2 linked regions of the Arabidopsis thaliana genome follow. The protein of the gene in region 1 interacts with the protein of each later gene in a pairwise test. Each region holds a gene or a part of one and is shown in the gene's direction. Other genes may lie near its edges.

The links.
Region 2: the proteins of AT2G21160 (region 1) and UMAMIT25 interact in a protein complementation assay, tested with the Arabidopsis thaliana proteins (one large-scale study listed by BioGRID).

The regions. Positions count from the first base shown.
Region 1 is NC_003071.7:9,066,587-9,071,243, forward strand, and holds AT2G21160 (Translocon-associated protein (TRAP), alpha subunit), read left to right. Parts: upstream 1-1,665; 5' UTR 1,666-1,841; coding exon 1,842-1,902; intron 1,903-2,357; coding exon 2,358-2,525; intron 2,526-2,615; coding exon 2,616-2,666; intron 2,667-2,762; coding exon 2,763-2,851; intron 2,852-2,939; coding exon 2,940-3,017; intron 3,018-3,124; coding exon 3,125-3,328; intron 3,329-3,405; coding exon 3,406-3,477; intron 3,478-3,567; coding exon 3,568-3,621; 3' UTR 3,622-3,707; coding exon of another isoform or gene 3,708-3,724; 3' UTR 3,725-3,887; downstream 3,888-4,657. Other genes in the region: XCT (XAP5 family protein), read left to right, coding at 126-204, 300-376, 460-521, 610-741, 828-881, 968-1,033, 1,127-1,201, 1,285-1,335; TIM (triosephosphate isomerase), read right to left, coding at 4,461-4,517, 4,603-4,657. UniProt on the Arabidopsis thaliana protein: TRAP proteins are part of a complex whose function is to bind calcium to the ER membrane and thereby regulate the retention of ER resident proteins.
Region 2 is NC_003070.9:3,025,268-3,031,189, reverse strand, and holds UMAMIT25 (nodulin MtN21 /EamA-like transporter family protein), read left to right. Parts: upstream 1-1,640; 5' UTR 1,641-1,867; coding exon 1,868-2,046; intron 2,047-3,436; coding exon 3,437-3,499; intron 3,500-3,575; coding exon 3,576-3,692; intron 3,693-3,778; coding exon 3,779-4,031; intron 4,032-4,144; coding exon 4,145-4,303; intron 4,304-4,390; coding exon 4,391-4,542; intron 4,543-4,637; coding exon 4,638-4,839; 3' UTR 4,840-5,128; downstream 5,129-5,922. Other genes in the region: AT1G09370 (Plant invertase/pectin methylesterase inhibitor superfamily protein), read right to left, coding at 5,765-5,922.

The DNA.
Region 1 (4,657 bases):
TGTAGATTGGAATATTGCTTGGTTGTTGGAGGATTTGAGATGCAAATAGCTTGCTGCGTAGGAATTTATAATATCATCTAATGTTGTCCTTTTTGTAACTTCTATCATGTACACTATTTATGCAGAGAGTTCTGGGACAGGGAACTTACGCTGCGGAAAACTTGGCAAGGACCCCTCAGTGGAAACGAATTTCCTGCCTGACAGGTGATCTCTAGCTCTCTTGTTTATCTTTATCTTCCTTGTCTGCTTTTGCAGTAAGTCTCAACTTTAGCTGTGGTGTTTTGAGGTTGCTGTTTCAGTGAGAGGGAGGCGGAGGAACAAGCTGAACGTGAAAGGCTGAAGAAGCAGTGGCTTCGTGAACAAGAGCAGATTAAAAGTTGTCCATTTTCTAGTTACCTTCTAATTTCAGTTGTAATACTTGATTCAAGGAAGATTGTCTAACTATTTTTTGTTTTTCAGACGAGCCTCTTGAGATTACTTACAGTTACTGGGATGGGACTGGCCATAGACGAGTTATTCAGGCAAGCACAAACTACACCTTTGTCATACTGCTTGAGCCTTACGTGTGTGATCATTTACTTACCTTTATGATATATACCCATTTTACAGGTCCGCAAGGGTGACCCAATTGGGAATTTTCTGCGGGCTGTTCAGCAGCAGCTTGCCCCTGACTTCCGGGAGATTCGGACGGCATCAGTGGAGAATTTACTATATGTAAAGGAAGATCTTATTATTCCACATGTGAGAACCCTTTAAACTTACCAAGTTATCCTCCCTTTACTATATAGGACTTAACGATAACATGGGGTATTTTTTTGTAAATGTAGCAACACAGTTTCTATGAGCTGATCATTAACAAAGCGAGGGGGAAGAGTGGGCCGGTATGCCTTGTCGACACTTTTTGAAATTCAGTTTATATAGAAATTGTAACCGAGACTCACTTCTCCTACATTGTTCTTGTTAACAGCTGTTTCACTTTGATGTGCATGAAGACGTGAGAACAATAGCAGATGCAACGATAGAGAAAGACGAGGTATGTTTCCCTGACCCGATCACATGAGAAAAGAGAGTAGTTTGATGATGGAAAGTTGTTTCTAAAGCATTGTAAAATGTGGTGTTAATGAAGTCGCATGCGGGTAAAGTTGTGGAGAGGCATTGGTACGAGAAGAACAAGCATATATTCCCTGCTTCCAGATGGGAGGTAACTCTCAAATAATCTTTTCTCTGCACTTTTCATTCTCAGCTAGACTTTGAATCTTATTGTTTTGCATTATAATTGTTCAGATTTACGACCCGACAAAGAAATGGGAACGGTACACAGTCCATGGGGATTAATTCTGGACCAGAACATGCTTTTGATGGATCGTTTGTTGACATGATTGATCAGATTTGGTGTAATAGTAGTGGAATGTTCATGGCATTTTTAATGCTCATTCTTCTTCCCTCAATGTACCATTACACTCGTTTTTTAATTTTTCTTAAAATAATGGAACTGTTTGATTTCTTTAGTACCCGTTATTTTGTGATTTTTCATGTCATGTGAAAATTTAGTATGAGATCTTGTGATTACAAATTTATAATGAGAGCACACAAATTAAGAATGTTAGAAACCAATTTGTGAATCCCCTGATGTATACAAGGCAACAAAATCACACGAAATAAATTGAGAGACCAGACAAAACGCTGTCGTTTTGCGAGGGTTTCTATGGTTGTGTTGTTATCTTTTTTTTTTCAGAAATAAATTAATTTAGTGTGAAAGAGCAAAAGCATAAATAGCATCGAGAGAGACACTGTTCTCATTCATTCGCAAATTCGTTGACCATATTTGATAGAATCAAGCGATGATGAATCTTAGGGTTTTGTTCCTCGCTCTCCTTCTCCTTGCATCTCCTCTGCTTCAAGGTAGGTCTCCTCTCTCTTCTCTTTTTGTTTTTCCATTGATTTTGTAGATCTAGATCCGTTTTGTTTCCTTCGCGTTTTCTGATTGGATTTCACATTTGATCTCTGTTTCCGATCTGGTTTCTTAAAGGATCTGGTAACGTTATGTCCTTATTCATCGATCCGAGTGAAATTGAGCTCCTTTAACAATACTTTGCCTTCGAACATTGTAGCTCTGTGTTTTGTGTGTTGCTGCCAATCCTAGAGCAATGTGGTTTCAAAGATACAAACTTTAAAACGTAGATCGAATCCCCTAGTAATAGATTCTTCAATAGTGTCTTCGTTGCATGTCTTTATTTTCTTACTTTACACTCGCCATTGTTCTTGGGTAGAGGAAAAATTGCAAATTGTAACATTTTCTGAAGAAGACGTTATGCTTTAGTGACCTGATGTGTTTTCATGTTGTTTCTTTTGATCAGTTGCTAGATGTCAATCGGATGCCGAGGATCATTCAAGTCTTGTTGACGATGTTGTGGGAGAAAACACTGATGATGCGGTTGAGGAAGATGACCATGATTTGGATATGAACTTGTCCTCATTTCCAGGAGTTGAGACTGTTTGTGTTTTCCCCAAAAACAGTGCCAAATGTATGTGTTTACTCCTCCTTTCTTACGTATTTATCTATCCGTTGTTGTGATCTTAAAGATTTGGTTTTTAATGCTCTTTGTTTCCTGCAGTGGTTCCAGCTGGAGAAGAGACTGAGCTCCTTGTTGGTCTTAAAAATGAAGGTAGCTAATACCTCTTTTAGCTTTAGCTCTCTTTGTGTTGAGTTTTCTGTTTTGTTGTCAAAACTAAATATCTCCAAATTGGCTGTGACTTAACAGGGAAAACTAGAGTAGGTGTGATGGGAATTAGGGCCAGCGTTCATCTTCCTTATGATCATAAGTTGTTGGTTCAGAATCTAACCATGTTGGTAAGCATTTGACTAGGAAACTATTTGTCTAAATATTTGTTATCATTTTATTGTTTTTTGTTGTTCACATGCTTGCATTCTATTGCAGAGACTTAACAATGCATCCATCCCAACGTCTCTTCAAGCAACATTCCCATACATCTTTGCAGTCAGCCAGTACTTGCAGGTAAACATATTCCACAATAGACAATACATCATTCTCGTTCATTCTTAAAATACAATTGTTATTGAGAAAAAACTCCGAAAGATCTAATCTTGCTTGGTGTTGCACAGCCTGGAGCATTTGATCTGGTGGGTTATATCATATACGATGTGGAAGGAAAGCCATACCAGAGTGTCTTCTACAATGGAACCATAGAGGTAGTTGAATCTGGAGGTCTTCTCAGCGGCGAATCTGTTTTCCTTTTAACACTCGGAATCGGTCTCCTCCTCCTCCTCGGTCTATGGGCATACAGCCAAGTTCAGCGTCTCACCAAGGTAAACCATTGGATCTCTTTTTCTGGTTCATCATTTGTGCAGTTAAACATTCCTTTGATAATCTCCTCTTTTACCAGAAAACCAAAAAGGTTTCCAAGGTGGAAGTAGGAACTAGGTCTACCGAGGCATCACTCGATGAATGGCTCGAGGTTCGCTTCTCTCTTTGTACTCTTCCTCCTCTTCCTCCTCTTCAGTGTGATTGAATAATCTGATTGAAGGGTATGTTTTTTTATCTTCAGGGAACTACTTTGGCCAAGACATCGTCTGGGAAAACAAAGAACAAGAAGAACTAAAGTAGAGCTGTTTTGCTCCTTCCAGTTGTTATAGACTCAGCTTCGGCGTTTTGAAAGAGTTTCCAAGTTTAAAGTTCAGTCTTGAGGAAATTTAGGGTTTTAAACGACACTTTTTTTGTTCCAGCATTGTACTCTTTAGACAATCTTTACTTCTTGTCATAAATATTCTCCTCATGAAACAAGTTAACTTATAAATGGTTTAGATCTGTTTTTCGTTGCTAACATCAGTAACTTTTTTAGCAGTAGATTAACATCTTTATACTAATGTTTTAGTTCATCAAAACAATTACAGAGGAAAGTATTGGACTCTCCAAATAGTTAAGTTGAAGATATGATCAGGAGCAAGTACAAGAGAACCACACTCCTTGGGCTTGTGTTGTTCAGGAGAGACTGGGCTGCGAGTTGCGACTTACACTGAGTTGTGATTCACACTAAAGTTGTGACTTATCTAAGCGATGAATGCACTATGGCTCAAGGTTTGGAGTGTGGTATGTTTGAGAATCGAAGATTTTTATCTCTCTGTCAGGACTATCGAGCACTTAGAGTGTGGCTTGAGATTTGATTTAGATTATTACATAGAAGAAACTCGTGAGTCAAGCTTACTCAAATTGAAAAAAAGAATCACAGCTTAGTTACAAAGATCTTTAATCAAAGACCCTTTTATCTCTCTCTGTCAAACCAGAGCTCACGAATCATTTTTTTTCTTTCTGTTTTCCATTATTAGTTCAAGAAGAAGATGTAAGAACACAACAACAACAACAAGGTCGCTAACCTCCCTTTTATTTCTCATCTCATCTGTTCCATGGAGACTAGCGATTTCCGTTACTGATAGTTCTCAATCAAGCAGCAACTTTCTTCGACGTGACTGAGTTCACAATGGTTGCAAACTCAGGACCCTAGAGTCACAATAAAGGTGAGTGTGAGCTGCTTTACTTCTATTCATCAACAACATATCCATAAAGGTCTAAACTTTACTTTTACCTTCAAGGAGGCACCACCAACAAGAAATCCATCAATGTCTTCTTCTTTGGCAAGC
Region 2 (5,922 bases), on another chromosome or scaffold:
AGCCTTAAGTGTGTGGGCCTTATTTCTCTTATTTTAAGCTATAGTGTGTGAGTGTGATTCTTTAGTGAATTTAAAAACAAAGCCTAAGACTTTGTATGTTGGTGGTTGACAGTGACAGACACATAACTCAAGCTTACTGTTGGCTCCAGCTCCAATGTAGATGCTAATTGTTCATACATAAATATGCATATGCATCCTAAAGTATATATCCAAAACGAATGTACAATGGAATTTTCCTTTTGTACGTAACAACGAAAAGATAAGATCGAAAAAATATGCGGCGAAAATTTACGTTGGAACTTGGAAGCCAAAGAGGACGCGGAAATTAATCATCTGGACGCCAACGCTAGCTTGTTTGACTTATGCAAATGGAGCATTACTCATAATTTATTCATCTTCAACTCCAAAAGCATTTCGTATAAAAATTAACCACTGATATCCAGCAAAATGTTAAGCATCACTTACTTTCTCAAATTTCAGCCAACAAAAAAGTTTAACGTGTTTGGTATACCTATGTGCTGACTACAGACCAATGTTTTATCTCTATCCATATGAAATGACATTCTTGCTCAAGGAAGTCACTGTACACCTAAGGAAAGGCCTTTTAAGAATAAATGAGGCCTTTTAAGACCAATAATTGGCCCAACAATATATGTTGTTTTGTATATGAGATTTTCTTATATTATACAAGTTTTCATTATGCATTTTACTTTAGTTTACTAAAGTTTTATATATAAATCATTATGTTTCAGTATAGTTTTTAATTAAAAATTAATTAGTTTTCTGAAAATTATACTAGCCACTCTAGTTATATCCTACTTTTTAATGATATAAATTCCAGTTATTTTCAAAGATATTCTTAAATTACGTATGTCCAACCCATTGTGTAAATGATTACCTAGTTCATACATTAAAAATATATAGTATATATACAGTATGCAGTCGAACTGAAACATGTAATAATATAATCATGAATTTAATTATATATTAAATTTTAGAAATAATTAGATGCATACATTTTGCGGATACTTACCTAGTTATATTTATATTGCATAAGATGCATGCCATTCAATATATATTCGATAATCCATGCCCAACTTCCAACCCTTTTGGGATATAAATAGTTAATTTACCATTTATGATATATATTACACACACAAAAGTTTGACAAAAAGCAAGAGTGATATAATGAAAATCAATTCAAAATACGTAAGATAATACTAATTCGATATTGTTAATCAAGCGATAAACCAAGCCCTTGGTTTAATATCACAGAAACGAGTTTTAGCAAAGGCAAATTGATTGCTTGAAGCTTGAGAAAGACATTCACAAGCTCCACCAAACCCATGAAAAAACGGAAACCAAAAAAATGGATTAAAACGAGGAAAATAAGTTAGATTTTTTTTTGACAAAACGCCAATTTGGATTGTATTAGTAATCAGCAAGGAGAAAATTTAAATAAATTGCCAAAAATATCAAATGATTCATATCACCTATTGTTTCGTGTTCTTATGCCCTAAAGAGAGTCCAAGTGTTACAAGCAAACTTCATTCTCGAACCGTTTCTCACCTTTCTGTTTAAAACATCTCTCTCTATATATATGTATGTATATAAATAAATATATGTATGTGCATGTATATATAAATGTGTGTATATATACATCTTTGGCTATAAATATAAGGTCGAACCAAAATAAAATATAGATTTGGGGAAACTAATAAATGATATAGAGAATCCACCTCTCTCCCTTATTTTTTTTTCTTGGTTTCTTGACCTATTATTATTGATTAGTAATAGTGAGAGAGGCATATTTTGGAGATACACATAAACACATAAATTGGAAGAATAAAATAAAAGAGAGTGAGAGATGGCTAAATCAGATATGTTGCCGTTCTTGGCGATGGTGTTGGTGCAAATCGGCTACGCAGGCATGAACATTACGTCGAAGATGGCTATGGAGGCCGGTATGAAGCCACTCATCCTGGTCGCTTATCGTCAGATATTTGCCACTATCGCCACTTTTCCGGTCGCATTTTTTCTCGAACGGTAAAAAAAAAACCATACTAATATCTGCCCATATACATCTTATTTGATCAACTAACGATTTTAGACATGTATGAATTACACGATTAAAACAATTGCATCGATGAAATGTTGAATTTGTTTTAATTCTTGAATAAAGCATATGGGTGTTTTTATTACTTTTTTGGGGTTAAAAGTAATTAGGTTTTAGGTGGTGAGTCTATGTTTTACAAAGATCAGCAAGAAATGCTAAACTTTGATTAGCTAAATTTTTCTTTTAGCATTGTTTTTTTGTGTTTTCAAGTTTGTCTTAACTGCGAAAGTAGAAAATGATGAAATCATATTCATCAACATAAACGTCAAAATGGTGAGTGCGTATATTAAAATATTAACGACGAAAAACCATTTACTAAATGGCTTTGTGAGTCTCATGTAGAACGTTTTTACGTCTTTGAACTTTCTTGCGTCACCTAAATTTATTACTTTCCAAAAGTTTCAAAAATCAAGCTTTTTAATTTATTGACATAGAAGTACTGCATGCTTAAAGTCTTTTTTTTTTGTGGTCAAGATTTTTTTTGATATATGTTAATAACTTAATTCATCAGTACTATACGTTGAATAGATTTAAATTCATTAATTTACTTCTTATTATTTTACAATTTTGGCAACAAATGAACCTCCATTTAGAAGACTAAAAATTAAAAACACTAAACTAATAATTAAGAAAAAAAGTTTAGCACGACATCGTCTTATTTTCCGGAGATTACGATAGAATACGCATATAATGGTATATGGTAAGCTATAAGTTTCTTGATGAATAATATTAATTCAGAATGTGAAGAAAAATGTGGTAAAGAAAAAAAAGACAAAAAAGTGGTAAAGTGACGCTGATTAATTAGTTGAAATGTAGTAGACACTAGCTTTTTTCTTTTGTTTATTGGGATTAGTATTTACCGTTATTTTTTCATAATCATGGTACCGTCAATGATTTTGGTGGTATGTGGAAACCTAAGTAGTTACATTATCATTAATTCCGTTTTCCGAGAGAGAAACAAATGAGAAATGTGACGCAGTCTCACACAATCCACGCGTCACGTTTCTTTCTTAAACCGAAGCACATGATGACAAACAAATCATGATGCCAGGTGAGTTAAGCGTCGTCAGGTGCCGTGCCATCTTCATTTGCCAAGACACGTGCTTCTTCAATTACGTTTTTTACTCTGTTTCTCCACTCTAATCTCTTCATATGATATGAGAAGTGAATTTGATTGTTTTCTTGAGTCTCGGTTTAACTTAACCGGGTGGTTTTAGGATTAGTTGCATGATTACATTCAATGAGAAATGCTTTAATTGATTAATAATGATTAGTGGACTAATGAAAACATAAATTTTTCATACACGGTTTCTTGTGCAGGAAGACAAGACCGAAGATCACACTTAGGATTCTTGTCCAAGTCTTCTTCTGCTCCATTACTGGGTATCTTACATACACTTTACCTACTAATTGCAATCTTACTTTGTTATAAAGCGATTTACATTGATTTTCTTTGCAGTGCGACTGGAAACCAAGTGCTATATTTCGTAGGACTTCAGAATTCATCTCCGACCATTGCTTGTGCCTTAACTAATCTCTTACCAGCGGTCACTTTCCTCCTCGCCGCAATATTCAGGTTATATGAAATTAATCTTAATTAAGTTTCCTTCAGACAATACTCGTTTATGATTATTGCTTAACACAAGACTTTTTTCTTTTCAGACAAGAAACCGTGGGGATCAAGAAGGCATCAGGACAAGCCAAAGTGATAGGGACGCTAGTATGTGTGATCGGAGCCATGGTTCTCTCCTTCTACCATGGTCACACCATCGGCATTGGAGAATCCAAGATCCATTGGGCCTACGCTGAAAACATCACGAAACATGGTTCCAGTTCTGGCCATTCTAATTTCTTCTTGGGACCTTTTCTTATTATGGCTGCTGCCGTTTCTTGGGCCGCTTGGTTCATTATCCAGGTAACTTAATTACTTAATTAAAAAAAAATGTAGCTTCAAACAATTTGAACCCACATAATGGAAAATGAAACTAAATTCTCATTTGGTTATGATAAATATTATTTTGGTTACAGACGAAGATGAGTGAAACATTTGCAGCACCGTACACGAGCACACTACTAATGTGTTTGATGGGAAGTATCCAATGTGGAGCCATTGCTTTGATCTCCGATCATACAATCTCTGATTGGTCTCTCAGCTCTCCTCTCCGCTTCATATCCGCCCTTTATGCCGTAAGTCCACATACATATACTATGATCATTAGATAACAATCTTAAGCTAAAAATATATGACACTAGTATAAAACACGGATCATGCAGGGAGTGGTGGCGTCTGCGTTAGCTTTCTGCCTAATGTCATGGGCTATGCAGAGGAAAGGTCCTCTGTACGTCTCTGTTTTCAGCCCTTTACTTCTCGTAGTTGTCGCCATTTTCAGCTGGGCTCTTCTTGAAGAGAAACTCTACACCGGCACGTATGTTTCTATACATCTTTATCTATCTCTCTGTGTGTTTAAACATTATATAAACGAGATGATGATGATGAATTTATATGATATATGTATATTAGGTTTATGGGATCAGCACTTGTGGTTATTGGTCTCTATGGCGTATTGTGGGGGAAAGACAGAGAGGTGAGTGAGAAGGAAGAAGAAAGGGAGAAGGTGAAACAACAAAACCATAAAGTCAAGAGTGAAAGTAATGAAGATATTGAATCGAGATTACCGGTAGCAAGTAGTGGAAATGGTTCCACAAGGTCTACATCGCCTTAAAATGGTGATTGCTTCTTCATCATATATAAGTATGAGCTATGGAAGAACCTTTTGGGATTTCTTGTTATCTAAGTTACTGCAACTAAATTGGATTTTCGGAGTGTTTAATTTTGTATCCCATTTTGAGGCTAATGATGGAGTGTTGATTTGTGTGTTCATCCTATGGACAACAAATATCACCTGTTTGATCTCTATATATATTCAGTATTCTTAATCTTCATCGTTTCCATTATCTTATTTTCTTTCTAATAACCTATTTCCTTTATCCCCAAAACAAATCAAATCATAGTCTTCAAGTAATTTATTTTATGTTTTGTCAGAGGGTGAAAGTTATTACAGACCTTCAATATTCATTTAGACCCAAAATGTAAAATAGTGCCTTGAAACAGAGGGTTTCGGTTCGTGCAAGTCAATTACAATTGGCTGTAACGGTTTAATCCTGGTTTAGTAACTCAAGTGTTATATACGAATCAAAACAGAGTCGCTGTTCTGTTTTGTTAATCTTCTTCGTCATTCTTGATTACGAGTTGCAAGGTTTATCTCGGTTCATGTACCTGTAATCGATAGATATAGTAGATTTGATACAGAACATGGAGAATCACATGCGATTTAGTTAGACTTAATTGTCAAAGACAAACACTATGGACATTTATTAGTATTATTGACCACCTGATTTTGCCATAAGGTCATAATTCATAGAAGCAAAAACAGAATTAGATCTTACAGAAAAAGATATATTATATTATATCCCAAGTGTTTATTTTTATCCTTATCAAGTTCAGTTCAATTCAACCTCAGCATCAGCATCGCCATTAAAAACATATATGCATATAGAGAATTGCAATTAAGAAGATTCTGTAACCATTATTAATTAGAATATTTCTGGAAACATTTGCTACTATGTCATGATTCAACAACAATCAGATTATGAAGAAACCATATGACTAACAATCTGTTCCATGGATAGTAAGATCTTCGTCTGTCTGTTTTTCTCAATCAACGGATTGATCTGATAACCGAGCACATTGAAATCTGTCTTACAGATATCAACAGCCATAGAAACTTTCTTTTCGATATTGACAA